3 linked regions of the Lepisosteus oculatus genome follow. The protein of the gene in region 2 purifies or fractionates together with the protein of the main gene of each other region. This does not show direct contact. Links are inferred from orthologs where the notes say so. Each region holds a gene or a part of one and is shown on either strand. Other genes may lie near its edges. The genes, in order: cops8, ddb2 and xpc.

Region 1 (8,035 bases), on a different chromosome or scaffold from region 2:
AGAATATCTGCAAGGTACTGGCAGGAAAATGTACGATTATTGAGATTCACTGGATGACTTAATCACAGTTACTGGGCTCTGGTTCAAACGTATTGCATTACAGCAGTGAAGACACGTATCTGTCAGGTGGGGCTGCACATTGGTGGTATTGAAGGGGGTCCCCATTACCTGTAATGCCCTTTGAGTGGAGTGTCCAGAAAATCACTATATAAGTGTAAGCAATTATAATTATTATTAAGACCTTGGCCTGTTCTGAACTTCACTGGGCAGTAATGTGCTCAGTGAGGTGTTCCTTAACAAGTGGTAGTTTTATTTTTTGTCCGGAGTGGGAAGAAAAAAAGTTACATTAAACTGTAAGTTAGTTTTAGCCAAGAACTCTTTAATACTCAAAAAAGAATTAAGAAATACACAAATTTGCAGCTATTGACCTTCTGACATTTGCAGTGTCATATATTTTGGTATTTATACATTATGTTTGACTGATTGTAATGGTGAGAATATTTCCTTTAAATTCCTGCATTAATTAAACTGTAGTATTATACTGTTACTAATAATAATTATCATTATTGTTGTTTTTATTTTATGCACAACCTTTTATGACATCTCAAACTCTTTATACGAATGAAATTCATAGGAGCTCTTGCATACAACAGGAATAGAGATACAGTACAGTATGTATGCTCCAGTATTTAATTAAGATCCAAGTCTTTGAGTTCTGAACATATTGCAACTGAGGTGTCAGGAGAGCCAATCAGAACAGCTTTGGTCTTGTGAAAGTTCAGATAGAAAAATCTGTGAATGTCCAGCATGAAGGGGCATATACAGTAAATAAAAACTGTGGTGCTTTCATTAATGTGTGAGGGGAAAGACAGAAGACAGGAAGTTATCATTGGTGCATCCCACAGCATTTCCTTTTTTGTTCCAATGGCTGTACAACAAGAGTAACCAGGACCTTGTAGAAAAGCAAAAAAAAGATTTTGCTAATGTACTGGAACAATCTTCCACTACGTAAAAAAAGACCACACATCCGGTGCTTGATAGCATGAACTGAATGACCAGTAACAGGAGGGGATTTACTGGCTGCACTAGGAAGCTGACCTTCAATGAAGTGGTCTGACCGGCCTGAGATAAGAGTCCTCTGACTAGAGGGGCCTGTGGGACCCAGCAGATAATTTGTTACCCACGTGAAGACTGTCCTATCGCTGTATTTCAAGGTACTGCACAGATTGAAGTGTACCATTCAATCTCCAGAAAACCAAAAGTCAGATGCCAGTAATTTCATTCTTGTTAGGCAATTCGAAGTGGGAGGCAGGGAGTGAAAGGCAATGGTCTACACAAGGAAGTTACTGTACCTAAGTGATTGCATGTTTCAGGTTTATTCCGGATCTAAAGAGACATAATAGTTTATGGAGTGAAAGTACTTTGTTTTGGATTGTTGTGTCCCTTGCTGTGCTTTATTTTTATCCTTGTTCGTGTATTGTATAAGCACAGGCTATTTCTGTGTCTCATCAAAGTATGGTATATCAACATTCAAATGATGAATCCTGTCCCTTCTTTCCTGAGAACAATGCGCAATAAAAACAGACTATCTCATTTAAAAGCAAAGCGTGGGAGGTTATTTTACACTGCAATCTCCAAAGGAAAAATAGAACACAATACATGATATCTAAGCTTTGTTTTTACGGATTTCCTGTGTAATTTGAATGAAAGAAAACTTTCCCTTCTAAACAGGAACCATGTCTACACGAGATAGTAAAAGTCACATTTATTTAGCTCACTTATTTAGAATTCTTGAGCTCTTTTAGAATCTGCTCCATAAGCATTTATGTGCAGTGTTTAAATTTCTTAACTAAAGCAATTGCCTGCATACTGTACTTACAGTAATTCAGTTAGGCATTGCAAAAACAAGTTCAATTTGCAAGTTTTAAAATGTTTTTGGAATATCAAAATCCATCTCACTGAAATTAATAGATCTTTGCAGATCTCAGTATCATGTACCTGCACTCTGAAATGCGTTAATACAGAAGATAGCATCTTAGGCTGATCTAAGTATTATCTCAGAAACATTTAACTGTTTATTGGTCCAATTGGCCCATATAATTTAATTCCTTCTAATTTAATAAATTATTCTAATCATTTGCAATTTAAACATGACTACACATGAAAAACAAAAGACATGTTAGCAAGACATGTATCAACAATTCTGGTCATTACTATGTTGCAACTCGCGTAATAAATGTAATATGTGAATAAAATTAAATACAATATCACTTACTTTAACATATGATCATTTTGTATTTTAATACCTGCTTCCTTCTCATCTATTGATTTCCAGTATTTACTGGAAAATACCCCAGGTGAAAATCCTAGATACTATTTCAGCTAAATTCCTGATGTGTCGTAAAATGGTGATTTTAGTTTATGGGCTCTATTATGGTGCTTTGTAAGGTCATTGGCCATTTATGATAAAAATAAACCACATAGAATCAATATAAATAAGCTTTAAAGAAACCATAGAAGTGCCCTAAAGGGCAGTCACTTTGCCTCAATTTTCATGTTCTCAACCTGTTAAAAATATATTGAGTAATGTTATGAATTTTTTAGGTCAAGTGTGAACTGTTGCACTATGGACTCTGTTGATGGATGTTTCTTGGATTAATTCAAGAACACTGCTAAGCAATCTTAGGTATTTATTTTTTGTAAATACCAATCTTCCACATGCAGTTCTTATTAGTTTATGACAGCTCCAGACTGGGAGTTTTTATGAGCACTCAGGATGGGAAAAGCAGTATATCGGTTGTGTTATCACACTTTCTAAATAGAGTCATTTAGGCTTTTACTCCTAATTGTAAAGACAAATAGCGGCAAGGTGAAAAATCACCACAGTAATGCTCCCAAAGGGTAATACGAATTTTAATCTTGATATGGTTTTGGATGGCGTCCATTTAATAAACTACGTGTAGATCATTTAGTTGAGATTTTTTTACCGTTTTATTTTTGTTTACGATGCATTTAAATTCACGAGACCAACATATAAACATGACCCTTTTACATTCGTAATTTTTTTTGGATAATTATTGTTATTTGTATCTGATAAAACACAAAATGCCTGCAATGACGACAAACGGCTCCGAGACTCCCTGTACCGTACCAGAGATTTTCCTCAGCGGTAAGATCGGAACAGTCCCTACCTCCGTGTCCCGGCTACCACGTTAAATAAGGAAAAAAGTTGCAACGCAGTGGTTCAGTGGAGCAAAACTCGGCTCACCCTGCATGGCTCTAATAACGACCGCAGAACAAGGAGTACTGATCCACCTCCTGGAACAGGAGAGCCAAGACTATGGTTTTCAATAACATTTTCACTCCTCAGTCAATAAGCAGGACGTTATAGAGCTGGAAAACGGACTGGTCATTTATGAATTTACTCTGGGTAATATACTGGGGTGTAAATAACAAAATACAATGATGTTTATTTGCATGTTTTATTTGAGGTTTTATTTGATCTCTCCGCTTCCCTGAACAACGTGGATTGGCACTTATACATTTCTTTACACCTCTTTCGTCTGTCAAACGAAACTTTAAAATCCCACGACATTACAATATCATGACGTTGCCGTGTTGGAACTACAATATATGAAATATATATCTTCAATATAATAACGTTAGTCACATATAACACTTTCCCTCTTGATTGAAATATTTAAGATGTAAATATAAGTAGGAAAGGGTTTAGTGACCAGGTCTAGTGCAAATGATCACATTACTCCTATCCTGGAGTCCTTGCACTGGCTTCCGGTCAAATTCCGTGTAGACTTTGAAATCCTCATGCTCACCTATAAGGGTCTGCATGGCTTGGCACCTCAGTATCTGTCCGAACTATTATCGCCCTACTCCCCACCTCGCAACCTTCGCTCTTCTAATTCTGCCCTCCTTACTGTCCCCCAAGCCTGTCTACATTGTATGGGTGACAGGGCCTTCTCCTGTTATGCCCCCAAGCTCTGGAACTCTCTCCCCAAGGATATCAGAGAGTCACCTTCTCTAAACTCCTTCAAATCCAGATTCAAAACCCTCTTCTTAAAGTAAAAAACCTTTACTTAACTGGTTCCATTCTTCACCCCTCTGCTTTTCTTAGTACCACCATCCACGGTCTCCTCTATATATTTTAATTGTGTTTTATCTTGTGTATTCTTTTTATTTATTGTTGTTGTCATTCCATAAAGCGTTTTGAGAAGCCACATTTAAAGGCGCTTTATAAAATAAAGTTTATTATTATTATTATTATTATTATTATTATTATTATTATTATTATTATTATTATTATATTTTCTTACCAGATTTTACGGTGGACTATCATGCGAAGTATCAATGATCTCCTGTAAAACATTTAACAAATCAGTGCGTTTAACTTTCTTTTTTAAGGCCACAGTCCGCTTTTTTAAAGCGAAATATTTGTATGGAGTGACATCTAGTGTTTCTTATTTCATTACATTCCTGTGAAACATCGGGTTTGCTTGACCAGAGAAAACGGATACATTCTAAAATGTTGTTGCAATATAGGTTTTAATATTAGGATGTACAGAAGTATAATAAATACCTTAATTTGATTCATTATTTAATTCTGTACGAAAGTTCTCCTTCGGAAGATCTACAGTAGTTTACTGCACACGATAGTCTATTAAATACCACGCACGTAGTTTTCCCCTCCACTAGAGGTCGCTAGGAAAGTTTCTGCGCCGTAATAATATTATACGCCGCACTCTGTATCCCCGGAAAGGGAAGTGTTTTCATCTGTTACTGTTTGGGTTGGTTTTCCAAAAATGCCAGTGGCGGTGATCATGGGAGAGAATTACAACAAACTTCTGGAGCAGTGTGAAACCCAGGAGTTGGAGGTATATAGCCGATTCCCTAAAAACAAGGTTGTGTGTTCATTGCCAGCCAGGACCTGGTGTAGAGACGCCACAACCGTTCAGTAACATCCCGGACAGTGAACACAACGTGTTGCTGAAGCAGCCGGCTTGCAGTCCTCAATTACTCGGTTACCTAGGATGCTGTTGTTAGACCTCGGGTGGTTGTTTAAAGGCAGTGATCACACTAGGGAAATATTTTCCCGATGTTTCATATGTAAACAGTATTTTTGGAATCAATGGTTCGCTGGTGCTGTGTCGCCTGTTCTATTCAAGTATACACGCATGTGTTTTATTGTCGTTTCCATCTGTGTCGGGGGGGCATAGCAGATCAGATCTCTATTTATGACTAGAAGGCTGCTCCCTTGAGCCAGGTGCCTCATACGAGTTGTGCACAGCTGTAAAAGTCTGCACCAGATTTGCTGGGGAGAAACCACGAGAATAGGAGAGCTTTCAGTCTGGGGTTGGGGGGTCACATAGCCACAGCCCGCTTAATCCTGCAGAAACTGGGGTAACCACGAAACTAGAGAACCGCTACAGTTGTAACAGCAACGTTTGTACGCAATGTCTGATGGTATTCATTTTATAAGTATTGATAACTGACGAATTTACTGACAGAAATTGTTACCAGTACGAGAGTTGTTGAATAGTTTTCAGTTAGCTTGCAGGAGATTTTCTACGTGCTCTATTAATACCTTTGAGTTCTGATAGGCATTACTTTCCTTGGTACTGTAATGTGTTTGCGGTATTCTCAAAGTGAAGGACAATGCAAGTATCTCTTACAATAAAAGATCGTCTAGTTTTGTTCGTTAGCTTAATCACTGGGATTTTCAAATTCAGTAACTGAAAGCAAAAGTGATCATATCTCTTGAATATACATTACTGCTTTTTTGGATATGATGCTGAAATTCATTGTGGGGATGAATTTCTTTTCTCAATTCCAATTGCATCCAGTGAAACTCGTTTTTTTAAATGGTGGCATATTTGAATTTTTGCATGATTATGGTAAAAATTCCACATTTGCAAAGCATTCTGAAATATTTAAATAAATATTTTTGTTAAAAGTTACATTTATTATTGCCATGTATTTTCTGTATTTTGTATATAATTACAATTTAAAAAGTGCTTTGTTTTCTTTCAAGGCACCTGGTGGCATTGCGACTCCTCAAGTGTACGGGCAGCTGCTGGCCCTATATCTCCTGCACAATGACATGTGAGTTATAGCAGAGTACATGTTGTCATTCAGAATCTGCCACTCAGGATTTACTGTCATCAGAGCAGGTTGTAGGCTCAGTAAATTACATTGATGGGCTACTTTACTGTGCATTGTGTAGGCACATGGGCTACTTGTTCACAACTGTTATGGATCCTTAACTTTTCATAGTCAAAAATAAGTTTCGAAGTTACGAATCCCTTCATAATCTAATATAGGGCTCTCCCCTCTGAGTCCATCCAGACATCTTAATTGTGATGGCACAAATAGATAAATCTGTATTGTGTTGATTTGCCATGACAGATGATAAGAACAGCTAGGATTTTCTTCCATATGGAGTAGATTTTAATATTGGTAATCATAGTTACAGGTGTAATAGATTTCTTCTTCCCCCTTATCAAAAGAAAAATCATAGGAACTTAGAAACATACAAGTTTATATGTAGATAGAACTGTTTTTATTGTTTGCATGAAGGTAATTGAGTTTCATATACAAAAAAACATTTAACTTTAAGCATAACTAATATCTGCAAAGACAGACACTGGTTTATAGTCTGTGTCTTAAAGTTGTAATAGCAGAGCACAGTCAATTAATCAAAGGTAATTACCTAGTCTCATCTAATGCAGCTTTAATGTTTTTGTGATAAAACACCATGCAGCACAGAAAACTGAACCATTGAAAGCACTAACAGCAAATGGCTTTAGCATAGTTTTACATGTTTTTTTTACATATGGCACTGGTTAAGTCTGTCATGGTGAAGCTGGTGATTTACCTAAAGCAACAGAAGCATTGCACTTGTAAGCTTAGCTTTCTCGAGACCTACACGTTCATCCCTTAGGATAGGTATATAAATAAAAATTAAAAATGGGACAGAGCATCAAAGCTGTTGGTCCCAACTATTTAATTCTTGTGGGAGTCACAAAGCTTTTGTGCACCCACGTCTTTCCTGTGTGAAAAAGCCCTCAAGAGACATCAAAGCCAGTCTGTCTGGACTCACCACATGGAAAGGATATGGAAAGTACTGGTTTGCATTGTTCTGGAATTTGAGGAATGTCTGTCTGTGTTCTGTTTTTAGGAATAATGCCCGGTATCTTTGGAAGAGAATCCCACAAGCAATCAAATCTGTAAGTACTTACTAAACTTTATTTGTGATGTATTAAAGTGATTAAAAACTCAGATATATTTAACATCAGCAGAAGACACATCTAACAGATAAGATGGTTTGGGTGTTTTTTAAAAGAAATCAATGGTTCTTGTTTTTGAAACCAGTTCTAAGTCTAGTTCAAGGCAAGTTTGCTTAGAAGTAGACAATAAGCATTAACATTTTGACAGCAGTGAAGTGTAGATTGCAAAAGAAATGTGCCCACAGAGCCTCAGATTCTGTAATATCTAAGCCCTTATGTTTAATACTCCCTGGTTTGGAAAACGTTATGTACTGTTATACTTAAGGTAATTTTTTAAAATTATTTTACTTTGAATGAAACAGAATAGAAAATGAGGAAATTAAAAATCTAGCTGCTGTGTTTTTAACACCCCTTCCAAAAAAAGAAAATTGATAGTTCTTGCAGAAGATATCTCCAAACTCTCGATCATTTTTAAGAACTATAATTTTAGTGCTAAGTATAGTCTTTGAATTGTTTTTTCCTTTGAAGTATAAAGATAAAAATAAGAGATAACAGAATGCTGCACTCTTGAACTGGGATGATTGAATCATGAGGGATTTCATTATCTCTGCCACGTGTCTCTGGCCTGCAGTGGCATCGACAGCTGACATTTAGAGCTGTTGGGAAACAGCTTAAGTAACCTGTTCCTGGGCTTCAGGGACATATAGAACTTTCTGTCTTTTTATAAGCTACACTCTGTTAATGTTTCTCTTTATCTGTCAGAAGTAAGCAGGGCACAGCATAAGATTCTGTAT
Region 2 (8,230 bases):
TGGCAAAAAGACACGGATTCATGGGTTGGAGAAATACTAGGCAAAATGGAACACAGCGCTGTTATATGCAAAGTAATCATGAAGTAGGTGCCTACAATATACGCTTCTTCTTAGGAATCCTGAGTTGGAGGAAGTGATACCAAAGGATCTGGGATGTCCTCATCAGGACAATGTGAGGAAGCAAAGGAAAAACAAAGACCTTGAATCAAGAGCAAGGACATTCGGATCTTTCATCAAATTATGCTCAGATTTCACCATTTCTCAGAGTATTATATTCCTATAAAACTCTCAAAAAGCAGCAGGACAGATTCCTGGTCTCAAGACTATCATATACAGACATGCAGTAAATAAAACTAGATCTCTTCACTGAAAGGATGATTAATATGAATATAAAATCCTAAAACGTATAGTCAGCCCAATGGACTTCTTCAGGCTCAGCTCAACAGGAAACTGAAGGGGAATTAGAAAAATTATTAATACAATGTGTTGCAGGTGTGAGAGCAAGCGTCCCAGCCAAATGATTGAGGCCCAAACAGGGCCCCTTCAAGAAGTGCCTGAGTAAAATTTTAATGACCTTTGCTACTAAACTAACAAGCAAACCAAGGTGGATCAAAAGGTCTCCTCTGGTTTGCAAACTTTCTCTTACAACAATCTTACTTCATGCCCTGTTCTTGGCGATAATTTAAAACTGCCACACCCCAACTAGCACTTGCAGGCATAATGATAGTTAATAAGTAAAAGTACAAATTAACACAGAGACACATTCATTTTTCAAGCTCGTATTATTAAGAAAACCTGTATTCCATGTCCAGAAGGTAAATAAAAGTACACAAAACAAGAATCTTTCACCCTAGGTGGTAACAGCTGTCCCATTTCCATTCTACAGTTAACAAAAAACCTTGCAGTAAAATCAGTTTGTAGTTTGTCCATACAAAAACTATTATATAGAATGTGCCATGCTTTCATGCTCAGTGAAACAAAGAAAATCATTTATAAACTTCCAACTGAAATTTGATAGTGTGCCCTTTAGATACTGCTACATTTCCAGTAGAGATCTCATTTTCAGAATAGCATGACCCGGAAGAAAATGGCTTAACTACACTGTTTTTCAGCGTTTAAAGCCACACCCCTCTACTCAAGACACCAATTCGTCCTCCAATTCTCACAAGCATAACAGGGATTAATTTCTGTTTGTAGTACACAACACTTTGTAACTCATGCCATTACTATAAAAAAGAACTCAGTTACTGGTAATTTTTTTACTAGCATTTTCCTAGAATTATGCACTTGGTAAACATGGAGTACCTCTTGTGCTAAGGAATGCAAAACCAAACACTTTAACCCTCTCCTGATCATTCTAAATAAGGAAGCATTTAAAATTTTGTTTACTTAAAGCAAGATAAACTTCTAAATAAAAAACAGATTATCTGAATAGGGGACAGAAGGTTTTTGGCTGCCTCCTGTTGAGTGAAAAGGTATTGTTCAGTAAGGTGGAAGAATAAATGGTATCATAAAGTAATCTTAAGCTAATTTTTAAAAAAAGCACAAATACATTTTTTGCCGTTTATCAGCATTTGAGAAATGCATGTAGTTCTAATGCATTTTGCGGCTCAACTATAGATTAACCTTAAGCCCTCTGGACTAGTCATTGTGGGCTGCAAAGTGATTATTTTTAGGGTTAATGCTAAAGAATTCACAGATGTGTCGCACTTCTGCGTTTGTTTCTAAACGCAAACTCAGTTACTAATGGAACCAGCTGTTTCCATTCCTGATTTTTTCAGGTCTTTCTCTCAGCCTTAACGTTTTGTTATAAATCAGTTCCTATTAACTGGGGAGGAAATGAAGTCTACTCGGACACCAAGCCCCTAAGAGCTAACTGGGGACTGTGAGGCCGGTAACGTTATTCCACCCAAAGTGGTCGAGGGCGCAGCTCCAAAAACCCGCAGGGGGCTGCATTCACGGCTGAGTGCAGTTTACTTGCGACGCAAAAGTGGTGTATTAGTACTCAAGTTCTTGTTTTTAACCTCAGCATCCGTGTAGGTTGTACAATACAATTACACGTATTGAAGGCACATCTTACATCCGACACTTTTGTAAATCATGCATTCCAAATAAAATGTCTGTTCTTCTTCTAGTTTTTAATACAGGTTCCATGCGTAAAAACACACACGGTAAACCGTCAGACTAAAATAATTGTATCCTTCTTTAATAACCTGATCCATTCACCAAGGGAAACAACAGCACTGACTCGGGGACCCCTATATATTTCACAACTGAATTAACCTACAAGCTCAGAAGGAGGTCACCTGTTTCGATGGGTACAACATAAGATTGTGTCATATTAAGAGAAAGCTGTCCCACTGAGAAAAAACGAAAGAGTATATTTCAATGGAAAGCCTTGCATTGTACTTAAAATGCGACTCAACTGGAAAGGGCTACTACTACCAACCCTACGCAGGGGAATCGTTTAAGCAATTACATTGTATACGCCGTCAAACATTTGTTGCATTTCGTTCGCTTATAAATTAACTGCGAAGTAACAAAAACAACACCGTTAAATTTACAAATATTCCTTTAAATCGACTTTAACAACGGGCAGATTCTGATACTTAAAGGCAAACAAAAAGCACTCGCAAAGACGGCGGAGAAAGAAACTAATACTGACACGAACAACGTTGTTTAAAATACCTAGAAACGACACCAGTACCAACCAAACCCTTTTATCTTTGCAGCGAGGGCAGAGTGGTCCGGTTTTCAACAGTTTACGCGGAACCCACCGGTCTCGTCTTCCTCTCCGGAGCCCAGGTTGGATTTCAATGAAAAGGGATACACCGGAGGAAAGCGCGGTGCACGCTGTGCTCCCAAGCGAGGTCACTAGACTACAGTTCAGCACCCCACGCAAACAAATCCACTATTTCCATACTGACTGCGAGCAAAAGAAAAAAATAAAACACATCTATGGGACCGTTAGAGAACACTTCGCATTCAGTAGTTTCGTGCAAATATTCGTCACTTGATGACAAGCTGAAAAGAAGTAATGAGTGACGACTTCACAAATCAACGGTCCTATTGCATCTGGACTATAATTGAGCCCTATGAAACTGTACTCCACAGACATCTATTGACGCTATTGGAATGTAAATGGTTTTTAAACCTTCCACAGGCGTGCAACGCCGTACTTTATTTTATATATATATATACGAAGGTGGGAGATCCGGCTCAAATAATAATAAAAAAAAAACGTTTTACACTTCACATGGAGCATTTGAGCAACATCTCATTGTGACATTTCTCTCTGATTCTTACCTGTTGCGACTTCAGTTTATTTCCAGAGAATGCCTATTTTGTTGCAAAACACAGATAAACGGAAAATCCGCACTTCGCGTTTAAAAAGTCCTCAGTGCATTTATGAGAGTAAACGGTAACACCCCTCCGACTTTAACCAGACCTGCGGGTTTTTCCCCCCCTCAGTTACAAGCTCCTATTACCGTAGTTGATGCGCGGTTACAGCAGGACTGCAGACAAACACTTCGCCGCCATAGAGCAGAAAAGAAGAGGAATTTTCTTTGGGAATTACTCGACCGGCAAGGCCAATTTCGAGGCACAATGACAACGAGAAGTTCAAAAACCGAGCAGAAATGAAGAAAATATCGAACATATAATTGTTTGGGTATTTTTCCTCAGGCAGGTTAAAAGACAACTTGTCTTCTCTTCTCTTCTGGAAGGGTCTTCTGGGGTGTAATTGGATCCTGTGGTTCCGCTCTACGCATTAATCCAATTACTGGATTTAACCCTATAGGTGCCGATGCTAATTGTGAAGAGGATAATGCCACTGTTTTATCGATTCAGAATTTTGAATGATTAGGCATCGTTTTGTATATTGCATCACAAGAGCTTCTTATTTTCTGAATATAGTCCAGCTGGAAAAGGTGTTCCGCGGGAACATCCCGGAGACGTACTCAATTTAATGCCACGGAGGATTTTCCGCTCAGGTTCAATATTAAGCAGTCTCTGTACTTTAGAACTTAATTTTCTAAAATAAATGACATCATTAAGAAAAACAGCACTGCAGAGTGTCAGTAATTTACAACGCCTAAAAGTCAAACTGTGAATGGTCAGCAAAGATGGGAATTAAAGAAATGTTACACACTGCAGGAGACCCTTTGACCCAGCTGGTTTGGTAGTTAGTAGGTAATTAATCTGAGAGTCTCATTCTTCTGTTTCAGAGAGAGAAGCATACTTTTCAAGGTAGCTGAAGGGGAATAGCTCATCTTTCTGTTCCTGAATGAGTTTTAAGTGCATTTTCCTGCTGACATAGATAATACCTTACTTTCAGTCCTCTTCGGTGTGCTCATAAATCAGTGGTTCCCTATCCTGGTGCTGATGACCAACACACCTGTTTGTTTTTGTTCCAGCTGAGCCCTCAGTGACACAATTGAACCCTGTAATAGAACTGCTTCTGACTGCTTATTGTCTTAATTAAAAAAAAACATAGAAAATGCATAAGGATGAAAGTACCAAAAATGGCATCTACTTCCAAGGTCAAGATAGAAGCTATCAGACTGGACTATTTATAGATGAGGAGTGGAATGATTTATGACAAAATAATTGATTTGGTGATCTGTCTCTTTCAGGTGTTTATCAAACACCCTTACACAAATAGCCCTCAATCATTTTTGGATTTATTCTACAATATTACCAGTGTGAGTTCAAACTTTTAAGGCTTTAAGGCTACCTACAAAAAACAGTGGACTGGACTTTCCTAGAGTTTCAGTTTCCAGGCACCCAGGATTCATATTTCTGTATTGTCTTTTGGAATGATCTTAACGGCCCGGTTGTCTTTAAGTCTACGTGGTTCTAATTTGAATCAATCTGCTCCACAAATATTGCATACAACCTTGATCATATATATCAGCACCATCATGTGTGAACTTCAGCTACCTGAGTCTTCAGTCTACGCTTTGATTGTCTAATGTCCCTGAATATCGATGATAATTCCGATCAATCTGATCTTCCCTAACACACCTGAAAACTGGTGATATGTGATATATTTTTAAACGTAGTACTCACAATAACCTTGATTTGTCTTAAAACCTTTACGAAATTGGCCAAAATGTGCATAATGATTAGTAGACAATTGTCGGAAAGTTGTCTTCCGCTGAAAGAAAAAAAGGGGGACGGAAAAGTGGATGTATTAGTACTGCCACCTGCTGGATTAACAAAGAGAAAATGTTACAAAACAACCCGGTCGTGACGTCATTAAAAACAAAATCGATCGTGTCTGCGTCCATGTGTTAGGCAAATGAGCGCTTAGTATCGATCACCCTCTAAAAAATCACCATAAAGAACCTCATTCAAGCGTCTTTTACAAAGGATTAGGTGACGTATGACTGCACGGGCTTTGTTTTAAGATGGGAATTTTGCTGTTCGTAATTTTATTTAATGATGGTGTTACGAAACTATAGGAGGGGAAGTAGAACCCAAATTGCTTGTTAAAAATAGAAGTGCATGTGTTTTTTTTAAACATCGAAAAGCTTGCAGTGCTTTTGAATTGTTATTGTTGTCTAAGAATGCTTTGAGAGGCTAAATGCATACATTTCTTCTGCATTCCTGCACTTTTTGTAAGAGCAACTAGTCCCTTATGTTAAAGCTGGATATCTCCCGTATTCTCACGTTATTGCAAAGTTATGTTCTTCAGTCAGATACCAGGAAAATGCTAAGCGTTTAGTTAAACGAGGTCTAGTAGTATTTTGTAGGAATACATTACACAGAGCACTGACTTGAGTGTGAACTTATTTAACCCTTCATGCACAGAAATAGTTTTCCTGTTCCTTTTTATCCGACACACCAGGTGAACAGCACAAGGAAAGCGATGGCCAAAAAGAAAGTTCTCCTGGACAGCACGGTGCCCAAACGCCAAAAGGAAAGGCCATCCACCTCTCGGAGCAAACGAGCAGAGCCTTCGGAAGAACCCCTCTCAAGAAAGCTGAAGAAGAAAAAGGAAGGCGTTCCGGGGAAAGCAGGTGTGTGACTGGAGCTCATGGCTTTGTCTCAAGTTGAATTTCCCCAAGCAGGGACGGTTCAGCAATAAGGCATGCCTGCCCAGCTCCCCAACAAGTAGTGGGCGGAATGAGACTGCGGCGCCAGCGGTTCCCCTCTGAGTTGCTGCTCCATCTGCTGGTGCTTGTGCTCAAGCAATCAGTACCAGAAGACAAGGGAATGTTACTTAAAAAACGATGTGCATGGTTGTTACAAAGCGACCTTTTCCACTGCTCCTTACTGTCGTTTCCTCTGACTTTATGGAATTAGCCAGAGGATATTCCTGTACATGCGGTCTCTTCGATTTATTTACACTTTAAATGACTTTGGTTTTAGAAATGTAAGAATTACCATAAACAGCCAGTGGGATTTGACTAATGTCATGTACTGAAAAAAGTAAAATCCTGGCTAATTCTTTACAAAGTTCGAATAACTCAAACTTGTAGTGGTATGAGAGTATTGCTTTGATTTTGCTTTTCGATTGTTTTTTTTTAACTTCTAAATTTCAGTGGGACATTTAAAAAAGACAGGTTTCCCCAGGTTTAACCCCGATAATGGTTATGTTTAGTGGTAGGTTTGGCGAAAATGATGGTTTTTGTAATCATTCTGGTCTTGTTCTTATTTCAGAAGCAAGATCTGAACTCCAGAATAACAGAGAGAGTGTGGGGTTTCAGAAGGCGGCCAGGCAGAACAGTATTGTCCATTATGTGTATAAACACTCACTGGGTCAGAACATCCAGTCACAGATGCGCCAGGTTTGAATTTCTTTTTAGAGCTGCCGTCTAAAGAACGTTTTTTTTCCCCTTTTTGTCAGAAAGATAAAATGATTTTGTAAGGTATAGCAGAATAATGGTAACTCTCTTAGTGATTTTATCAAGCCATGACCGCTCCCTGTTACACAAACATTTGACATATAGTCAGTCACATACGGAGCGAAAAAGAAAAAAAAAAGTGTGCTGTTTCTGTCTCCGGACATCGGAGTTGTATCTTAAGAACACACATTTGAAGCGTGCTTGTGAGAAATAACTGCACTGCCTGTGCCATCCCTCTGTAAATCTGGCCTCTTTTCTTGTCTGGAAGACCGATGTGGCTCTCCTGTCTCTCCAGTGCCTACAACAGCCATTCCTGCGCTTTCTGAACTCCTACAGTCTCTTCCATGCAGCCAGCCCATTCGATCGCAGGGTGACGTGCCTGGAGTGGCACCCAACGTGCCCCAGCACCCTGGCAGTAGGCTCCAAGGGGGGGGACATAGTGTTGTTGGACTACGAAATGTCAAAGAATACCAAGTTCATCCAAGGGGTGAGTGGTTTCTCTCCAGGCCTGGCAGGTATATACAGTATGCTGTGGTTTTGTCTGGGTGTGAATTCCATTCCAAGAATGTAGTTAGCACACCGTGATCAGTGTCCTGAGATATTTTCCTTTTGTGTTTTTTTTTATATTTGTTTAGATGGGAGCTGGGGGCTCCATAACAGACATGAAGTTTAACCCTTTCAATCCCAGTCAGCTGTTTACATCGTCTGTCGGAGGCACGACCTCTCTGCAGGATTTTACAGGCAACACTATTAAAGTTTTTGCCAGCACTCATCAGTGGGAGTAAGAAAGTTTTGATGCAGTTTTTTAACTTATTGTTGACTTTTAAAAATGCCGAAGGGCAAAACTAGACACTTGTACAGTGAATCTTAGTATAGTTTAATGGTGTGTCATGACTTACTATATATTTAATTATTGCCTCAGATCCTTTAAGTCTGCTGTAAGATTTTGTTTTTCAATGGAGGTAGATGCTTCTGAAAATACACTAACACTCTGGGAAGCAGCTACGTAATACTCCAGCTTCTCCAGCTGTTTTGGTAAATCTTTGCTATTTTATGGAATTCTATGGTCATTTTTTCATAGCTGAAGCAGAAATAAAAAATAAATCAAGCATCAGCAAGTCCTGTCTGGCCATGGTAAAGCAGAAATATTCTTAGTATTCATGTCAATTGTGAGCACTGCAGATCTTTAGCTATATTCAGATTTCTGACCAATTTCCTTATTCTTTCCAAAGCAGTGAACTGAAATACACAGTCCAGCTGAGCTGGTCTTTTGTTTTCCTGTGTGGCATTTACATTGAACCTAAGTAATGCCATGATGAACCAGTTTTTAGAAGCGCTACTGAACTTGAAAATCCATGTTTTTTTAATGGCAGAAATAA
Region 3 (7,614 bases), on a different chromosome or scaffold from region 2:
GGTGAGCCCGTACTTTATGGGTATCTGTGAGCACATCCTTGGTGAAGCGGTTCATCATCCGGCGAAGGTACGTCTCAAACTCTGCCTTTCTTCTCTCCCTGCCAATGCAGCACCACATCTGTCACTAACACATCAACTTACAGGGACACAGCAATGCACATACACAGAAATAGAATAACTTTACAACAAGCGATTAATTACATTTGTAATTGTACAATCAAATGATTGTGAAAGCATCATTCAGAAAGATGGTCCAGGTGTGCCAGTAACCAACTGCCCCTCCTCCATGCCAACTTATTTCCAAAGAGGCCAAATCAAATATTTTTCACCAAAAATACATACAGTAAGTGCTGCCTGCAATTTGTATTGAAAGTGTTAAGTTGTCTGTACATTATGTACTTTCATTCCAACATCCACTATAAAATATTTACTTTTTTTAGCTTAAAAAAAAATCCTTTTTCAAATGTGAACCTATACCCTTCAGAAGCAAGAGATACTGTAAAATCATGCTTTGTGGCACACTTTTATTACTGTTGTGTAATTGAGGGTAGTGCTGTATAAATGTTTGTCCATGCAGCTCTAGAGTTGTAACAGGCTCTGCTTCTTGCCTTCTCTGTCTCTTCTTGGCTTGCTCAGGGGTTTCAATCTCTATCTCCACAGGCTGAGAGGGCAGAGCTGGCTCTGAGGGGCCCAGGGAAGAACACATAGGCTCATTGAGTTCTGTGAAGAAAGTTCAGAGAAACAAGGACTTCAGCCTGGAAATTGCTACAGACTTACACAAGGAGACATCGCTTATGGTTAAGGGTCTCCTTACAGGTAATGTAGAGATTGTCCGGAGCACTAGTACTATATTTTACTCAAAATGAGCTGATCCAACGAATTTGGTTAGAATTGTTTCCACTTAAAATATAACAGAGATAAAAGTAGTGTATCCCATTTAGGCCAGAAACCCATTTGATTCAATTATTTCAAATATACCACAGGGTCCAACAGGGTCTTCCACTTGGTCAAACAGACCCACAAGAATTCAGGAGAAGGGCAATTTCACCAGGAAATGAAATGTATCCATACTGTATATGCTCTGCAAACTAAAGTCTAACATTAGATTTTCAAGCATGACATTGTCATTCTGAGGTTTGCAGAACTTATAGGCAGCTCTTATAAGACCTAGATACACATAAGCAATGACTTTAACACTTCAAACCAAATAATATATACTGTACTGCCTCACAGTCTCCATTGAAGACTACAGTATATCATATAGGTAGCTGTGTCACCATGTGTAGGCTGCAACGGAACAAGTAAACGTTCATTCCATGCTGAAAAAAGAAGAAAAGAAACACAACGTTGTTTCTTTTGTGGAGCCTTCTTCAGGTGTCATATCCCGATGAAGGCTGAAACGTTCCGTTTCTTTTCTTCTCTTTTCAGCATGAAATAAACCTTTACTTGTCCATTTGTAGTATATGATACCTGCTCCTTTGCAACCCTCAGAGCTGCCCAGTACACGTTAATCCACTTAAAAATAAAAAAAGTGAAAAAATAAAAAATACATGCTGTTTGGCTTACCTTCAACATCTTCCCAGTCCTCATCACTCTCCTCGTCTTCGTCCGTCTCCTCTTTCTTCACCACCACCGCGGCTCCCTCACGACCCCAGCCAGCCTGACTGCTGCCTTCCTCCTGTCTGGGCTGCACGTGCCTGCTCGCCGGGACAAGTCGAATCATATCAGTCATATCCCAGACCACTCCTTCACGCGGCCAAGCACTGTGGGTGTGTCTTAAAGAGATTTTAAAGACTGGCAGACAGCACTTCTACTCCTCATTCTGTACACCCAGCTTGAATAGTACGGCTTGCTTGCAGTACACCGAAAAGCTAGGCACTCCTCCTCCAAGATGACAAACCTCAGGAGTGTTAACAAGCCACCATTCCATTCTCATAGCTGTATGCCAAGAGTCATTAAAATGTCAACTGGGAACGACTCCCTGTTGAGAGATACTGAGCAACTCGGACTTTTACCGATTTTTTTCATCATCATCATCTTCTTCTTTTATATGTGCAGGCTCTTCTTTGACTCCCTTGGTCGCTCTGTGGCGTTTACTCGTCGCTTTTGAAGTTTTAGCAGCAGCCCCAGGCACTTTTTTACAGTTGGTCGCGCTTTTCTTTGCGGCTACTGCCTTCGGAGCATCACCTTTAGGGCGCCCATCCTCTGAATCAAAAGAAGAGTTGTGTGACGAAATAAGACCCAGGTCTTTGGTACTACACGTAACTGTTCGCGTACCCACGTTTTCATAATCTGAAGTCATGAATGAGAAGAGTGCTTATATTTGCATTTAGGTCGGGAGGGGGTTGCTTCTGCAACGCAAAACATTTTAAAACATCAAAACCCCACCACCTGCAGGATGTGCTGCAAACATCTCAACGGTATATTTTCGGACTCCACGGAAACCACATATTGTATTTTATATTACTACAATTCCTGGCCATGTTATTTACGTTAATGTTAATTATCAGTTTCATGACGAACAAAAACAATAGCCGCTGTTTAAACTCACTGATTAGAAACAAAAAAAAAACTGATTTTAATTCAAGATACCGAGATACACACGATTGTTTTAACAAAATCAACTGTTCATGCATTTTTTATATATGTAAAACGTTACCGGTATGCACAATAGATTACAGAATAGCACAGCACAGAAGAATCACTACCATGCTAACTTACCTGTAATCTTTTTTGCTGATTTTTTAACAGTCTCTTGCTCTTTCCCCTTTGTGACCTGCTTACATTTCTTGCTATCTTTTTTTGCGGCGGCATCAACTGACCCTTTTCGCTTGTTGGCCATGCTCGTAACAGGCTGCAGGAACTTTAGTTGCAACACAAATAAAAACATGCACGACCGACGTTACTCGAATGAACTTCGGTTTCCACCGTGCGCACACTCCATAGAGTTTAACTTATGTAACCTCTTTCATTTTGCAGGAAGTTCCCCCAGACTCTTGTTGTACAATGCCTGAAGCTTTCATAACATTCTCCGTATCATTTGTTGTTATTCTCCCTGCAGACCAGTTTCAGAAGTGACGTCGAACGTCAACTTCCGGCCAATAACATGTCCGCCATCGGGGTGCTGATGTAGCTGAATGTTGTTAGCTACACGTGGTTGTACCTGACTTGAATATACATGTTTACATGGAATGATATTTCTTCGATGTTTTTGCTTACTTCGACAATGATATTCAGTTTATGCAATGCAAAAACTTGAATTAGCGAAAGATACATTATCAATTCTTTCCGAAAGACCCCTTCGTTTAATATACAGTATATATGCAGAGTTGCTCAAATGAGTCCTTTTGCATGTGCATAGATTTACTTTTCGTCATCAGCCCAGGCTGTAAAACGAAGCTGCACGTGTGTAGATATGCATATCATGCACTACAAAATATTTTGGAGAAAGTTAAAATATATTTTTACTTCTCAGTCAAGAACTTCGTATTTATTTTCATGAGAAATAACATGATTGATGAGTACAATTTTTTTTATTTTGGATAATTCCTTGTAAACATTTACTCACGTTAACAAGGTACATTTAATATTCAACCTACTTCTGATTTCAAAGTGACCTTTTCAAGTGTTTTGGGACAGTTTCACTTCAAGTGAAATTCTCAGTGTAAATGTCAGTACGCATGCATGAAGCAGCTACCCATTGAGCTCACTAAAGTTAATAATTTCAGAAGCCTTTGCTGTAGTTGTTGGAATACCAACCGTCTCTCGACGACTGGAGTTGTCTAACACTGTATTTTGGTTTTCTATTTTATTTTAAGGAACACTAGGTGGAGCCACAGGCAAATATTTTGCTTGGTAATATTTCCTTCTCCTAATACGGGTCTGCTAACTGGGTGAAGGTGGTACTGTACTGTATATGTTCACAAGAATTTATAGAATGAACTGATGTAAACCCAGAAGCTGACCTACGAAATTAAAAAAACAACAACTTTACTCTGGTAATAAGGTCAGTAAATTTGATCTTTTTGGTAAAATATATATTTGCTTACTCTTTTTCTTTTCATTTACAGCACTAAAGTAATGGTACAGTATTTGCAATTAAAGTACTTAATGTGTTTTTCGATTATTTACAATTATGTTATGCGACTCTGTATATAACCCAATCTAAAAAAAATCTATACTGTGCCAAAATGCTAAAACTGTCTAAAGCATTACATTTTCTTCAAAAGAGAAATTAATTCGTATGTATTGAATTGTTTTATGTTCTGTCTAATTCTGTGTTATTGTTTGGCTTTTTAATCAGGCTGTAGAGTATCTCGCAATTCAGCCACGACAGCTTCTTTAGGTGGTTGTGAAGCCAGCTGGGAAGGTGTTCCTTGCAGCATTCTCTGAAGCTCACCGATGAAGCGCTATGCTCTGTAGCAGGGGTGAAAGAATACCAGGCTTTTCGGTGCAGGTTTCTGGCTCCCATTTTTCAATGCATGAATTAAGGATTATCAATCAAGCATGCAAAGGATTGGTTGTACCAGATCCTAAATTTGAAGGTCTGGTGTTTGCCAGTCCCTACTCTACTCCTGTGTAATACAGATAGACAATCAAGTAAGCATTGTGAAATTGTAATAGAAGCTCTTTGTTCTGTAATAGCTAGGCGGGAAAAACATCATAAGATATGGAACAGGTATAATTTTTAAACGAGACAACTATCTACAGATGATCTGTAATCATTTTGATTCATGCAGTTTTTCAAGTGTTGTTGCATTTGCTCTTTTATTTGCACATTGTTCAGCTTTTTCCTTCATTGACCTCAGTTTCAGTGTGTGGCACCCTTTCCTGTATGAGTCCAATATCCCTCAAAAGCCCACATCACACAGAGCCATTTACTGTATGTTTTGGCACGGTCATCTTGCACGCTGGTTCTGAGCCGGCACTTGCTTTGAATATTCAAATCTTTCACAGCAGATGTCCTAGTTTGAATAGGATACATCTCTGAGAGAGAAAAAATAAATGAAGCATAGTTGATTAATGAAAACATAAGTTCTGGCAATACACATATTAACAGTTCTGCAGCAGGTCGGTACCACCTCTTCACAACATAATGTAGGTATTTCATTATAGAATATTGGTACAAGCACGTCTAAGCTCATGTTTATGTCTCATGTCATACTGTCCTTTATCTGATTTTCTGGTGCAGTTTTTCTTGTTTTCTTTGAAGATCAGCCAGTTTCTCTGTTTTCAGTCGCTGCCTTTGCTGAATTAAAATCACCATGAGACCACGAAATGACATAATTCTTCCCATGTGACCGCCTTTTTCTTCTCCTTGCAAATCCAGTTCCAGACTGTGACGAGATACCTGTTCCATTGCTGTGCAGCGCATTTTTCCCACAGTGAAATGTTGGATCTGCACTATTTGTTCTAACTGGAGATGGGGGAGGGGATTAATTCCACCCCAGCACAGAACATGCTTGAAGTTTACATTTTAAAGTAAATAAGAAAACATACGTGGAAGGTTTAGTTTTGTGGCTACACCAACAAAAGAACACAAAGATACAAGATTATATAAGCTGGTGGACTTTATTTCACACATTATCTCACAGTTTAGAATTACATAAAATGTACAACAGGACAAAACATGGACTTGATCAATCTCCCTGATAGTGTCTTTCCTTTAACCATACACAAAAACATGAAAAAGGAACAGAACATGTAAAAGAATTAGACAAAAATCTCACTAAGTGCTCCCAGTTTACACCTCATCCTAAATTAACCCATTTATGTGTCTCCAGCACTGTCATTTTATACATATATACTGTAACAATATGGTGTTTACAAAATTGAGGGTACTAAGAGATGTATACAAACATTGAAGTAGACAGAAGTTAATTGAAGAGATACATCTCCTGTGTCCTTCAAAAACAGATGTAAAACTTTATTGCCTTAGTTACAGGACCTGCTGTTCTGATTGCTGTGTTTTGAACTTTTTAGAATAGCAAGATGTCGGGATTCTAACCAGCAGTCTTCCACTTGTGTAACAACCCTGCTCTGAGAGGTTGGATTTTGAATGTCTAGAAACCTTCACATTATGTTAAACTGATTAGATTAATCATTCTGATCTTTGCAGCAGGGTTAGATTACATATGGTAAATGAAAAGACATTTAATGGAAGATTAATTGAATGTCTTAGTTTTACTTCATTTCAAAACTTGCACAAAATGACCACTTTAATAAGTGAAAATCATGAACTAGGAAGGACTCTCATTTGCACCGGAAAGTGTTTCCTTTAAAGAAAGACTATATTCATCTCAAGCAATGTGTAACATCCAGATATGTAACACTTTACTTTGTAACTACAACAAGATCTGTGGCCTCTTCCGAGGGTGACTTTTTCATTTGAAGCCAATGACAAAACCCAGTTTGGTACAGCAAAGACAGCATCTGTCCTGTCCCATCAACATGTGGATACTGGTATGCTCTGAGGCAAACAGGATAAGAAAAAGGGAACTAATTCTGAACACTTTTCAGCACCTACTGCTTTTGTACTTATGGCACAATACGTTGTTTCTTTCTGTAAAGAAACACTCAGAAAAGTGATTGATAGTTAATAGTTGGTACTTGCATTTATACACTACTTTTTTAAAGGATTGTCACAAACCACACGTAAGCACTTCTCACCGTTAACATCCATGCACTAATTAATCAATTATCTTTCTACACACTCTTCCCTCCATCTTCCGTATTTACAGTATACCCTCTCACTCCACTCAGTCTCTGCTCACTAATGAGGTTGCCTCTTCCGAGCTCAACCCTCGCTTTACGTAGTTCGGGAAAGAAATACTTTAAACCAAATTGTCTTTTGGCTCTCGAAACCCTAGCTCAATCCTTTGATTACGCCATTGCTTCATGTTTTTAGGATTTGGTTACTTTTGGAACTTTCCGGAACCTTTCCTGGATTAATCTACCACAGGCTGGCATAGGGAGTGGCTAACCAGCCTCTTTGCTGCAACTCCTGATAGGGATCCCCAAAGTATATTTTCTAAAATCAAGAGAAGTGACCCCCTCTGTCCCCCACTGAGGTGCAGTACCCACAAGGGTGAAGTGTGGCAGCCATTGTGAGCCAGCAGCCCCATTATACAGCAGATAAGACAGCGCAGTGAAAAATTGCTTTATTAATTGAATCTGGGGGAGAGAGGAGACATTTACTTGGTCAGATTGTTCAAGCCCAGACTGGAAAGTAACAAAGACACTTGTATTTTCACCAACAGCACCATGAGGCCTTTAATCAAAGGACCACATTTTAGCATCTTATTTGAAGGATGGCACTTATTACAGTTCCCTTCTTGGTCACCATACTGGGAATTTGGTGTGATGTAAATGTCTCACAGTTCCTTATTGCTTCCTGTTGTCAGACCTATTTTCATAGTAAAGTGACTCTATAATTCTCTGTTGTTCCTATTTTAAATATTATCTGCTACAGTAATGAACTTGTTCAATAATAAAACCTAAAGCTAGGATTATGTGTGCAGCTGGCCAGGAAATAAAATAGGGAAATAAGAGATGCAAAATACTTTCAGCACAAATAGGGCAAAAACACAAAAAACTTTAAAAAACGCATTCTTA

The links.
Region 1: the proteins of ddb2 (region 2) and cops8 purify together in Homo sapiens (affinity purification with mass spectrometry; 6 studies listed by BioGRID and IntAct, counting the BioPlex papers as one, with this or other methods). This does not show direct contact. The link is inferred for Lepisosteus oculatus from reciprocal best matches to the Homo sapiens genes DDB2 and COPS8.
Region 3: the proteins of ddb2 (region 2) and xpc purify together in Homo sapiens (affinity purification with western blotting; 5 studies listed by BioGRID and IntAct, with this or other methods). This does not show direct contact. The link is inferred for Lepisosteus oculatus from reciprocal best matches to the Homo sapiens genes DDB2 and XPC.

The regions. Positions count from the first base shown.
Region 1 is NC_090707.1:9,847,849-9,855,883, forward strand, and holds the start of cops8 (COP9 signalosome complex subunit 8), read left to right. Parts: upstream 1-4,769; 5' UTR 4,770-4,817; coding exon 4,818-4,889; intron 4,890-6,046; coding exon 6,047-6,117; intron 6,118-7,192; coding exon 7,193-7,241; intron 7,242-8,035. UniProt on the Homo sapiens protein: Component of the COP9 signalosome complex (CSN), a complex involved in various cellular and developmental processes.
Region 2 is NC_090716.1:4,973,895-4,982,124, reverse strand, and holds the start of ddb2 (DNA damage-binding protein 2), read left to right. Parts: upstream 1-5,212; 5' UTR 5,213-5,806; coding exon 5,807-6,023; intron 6,024-6,666; coding exon 6,667-6,794; intron 6,795-7,146; coding exon 7,147-7,338; intron 7,339-7,486; coding exon of another isoform or gene 7,487-7,632; intron 7,633-8,230.
Region 3 is NC_090699.1:55,825,608-55,833,221, forward strand, and holds the start of xpc (DNA repair protein complementing XP-C cells), read right to left. Parts: upstream 3,061-7,614; 5' UTR 2,891-3,060; coding exon 2,722-2,890; intron 2,206-2,721; coding exon 2,016-2,205; intron 1,698-2,015; coding exon 1,567-1,697; intron 721-1,566; coding exon 609-720; intron 99-608; coding exon 14-98; intron 1-13. UniProt on the Homo sapiens protein: Involved in global genome nucleotide excision repair (GG-NER) by acting as damage sensing and DNA-binding factor component of the XPC complex. Has only a low DNA repair activity by itself which is stimulated by RAD23B and RAD23A.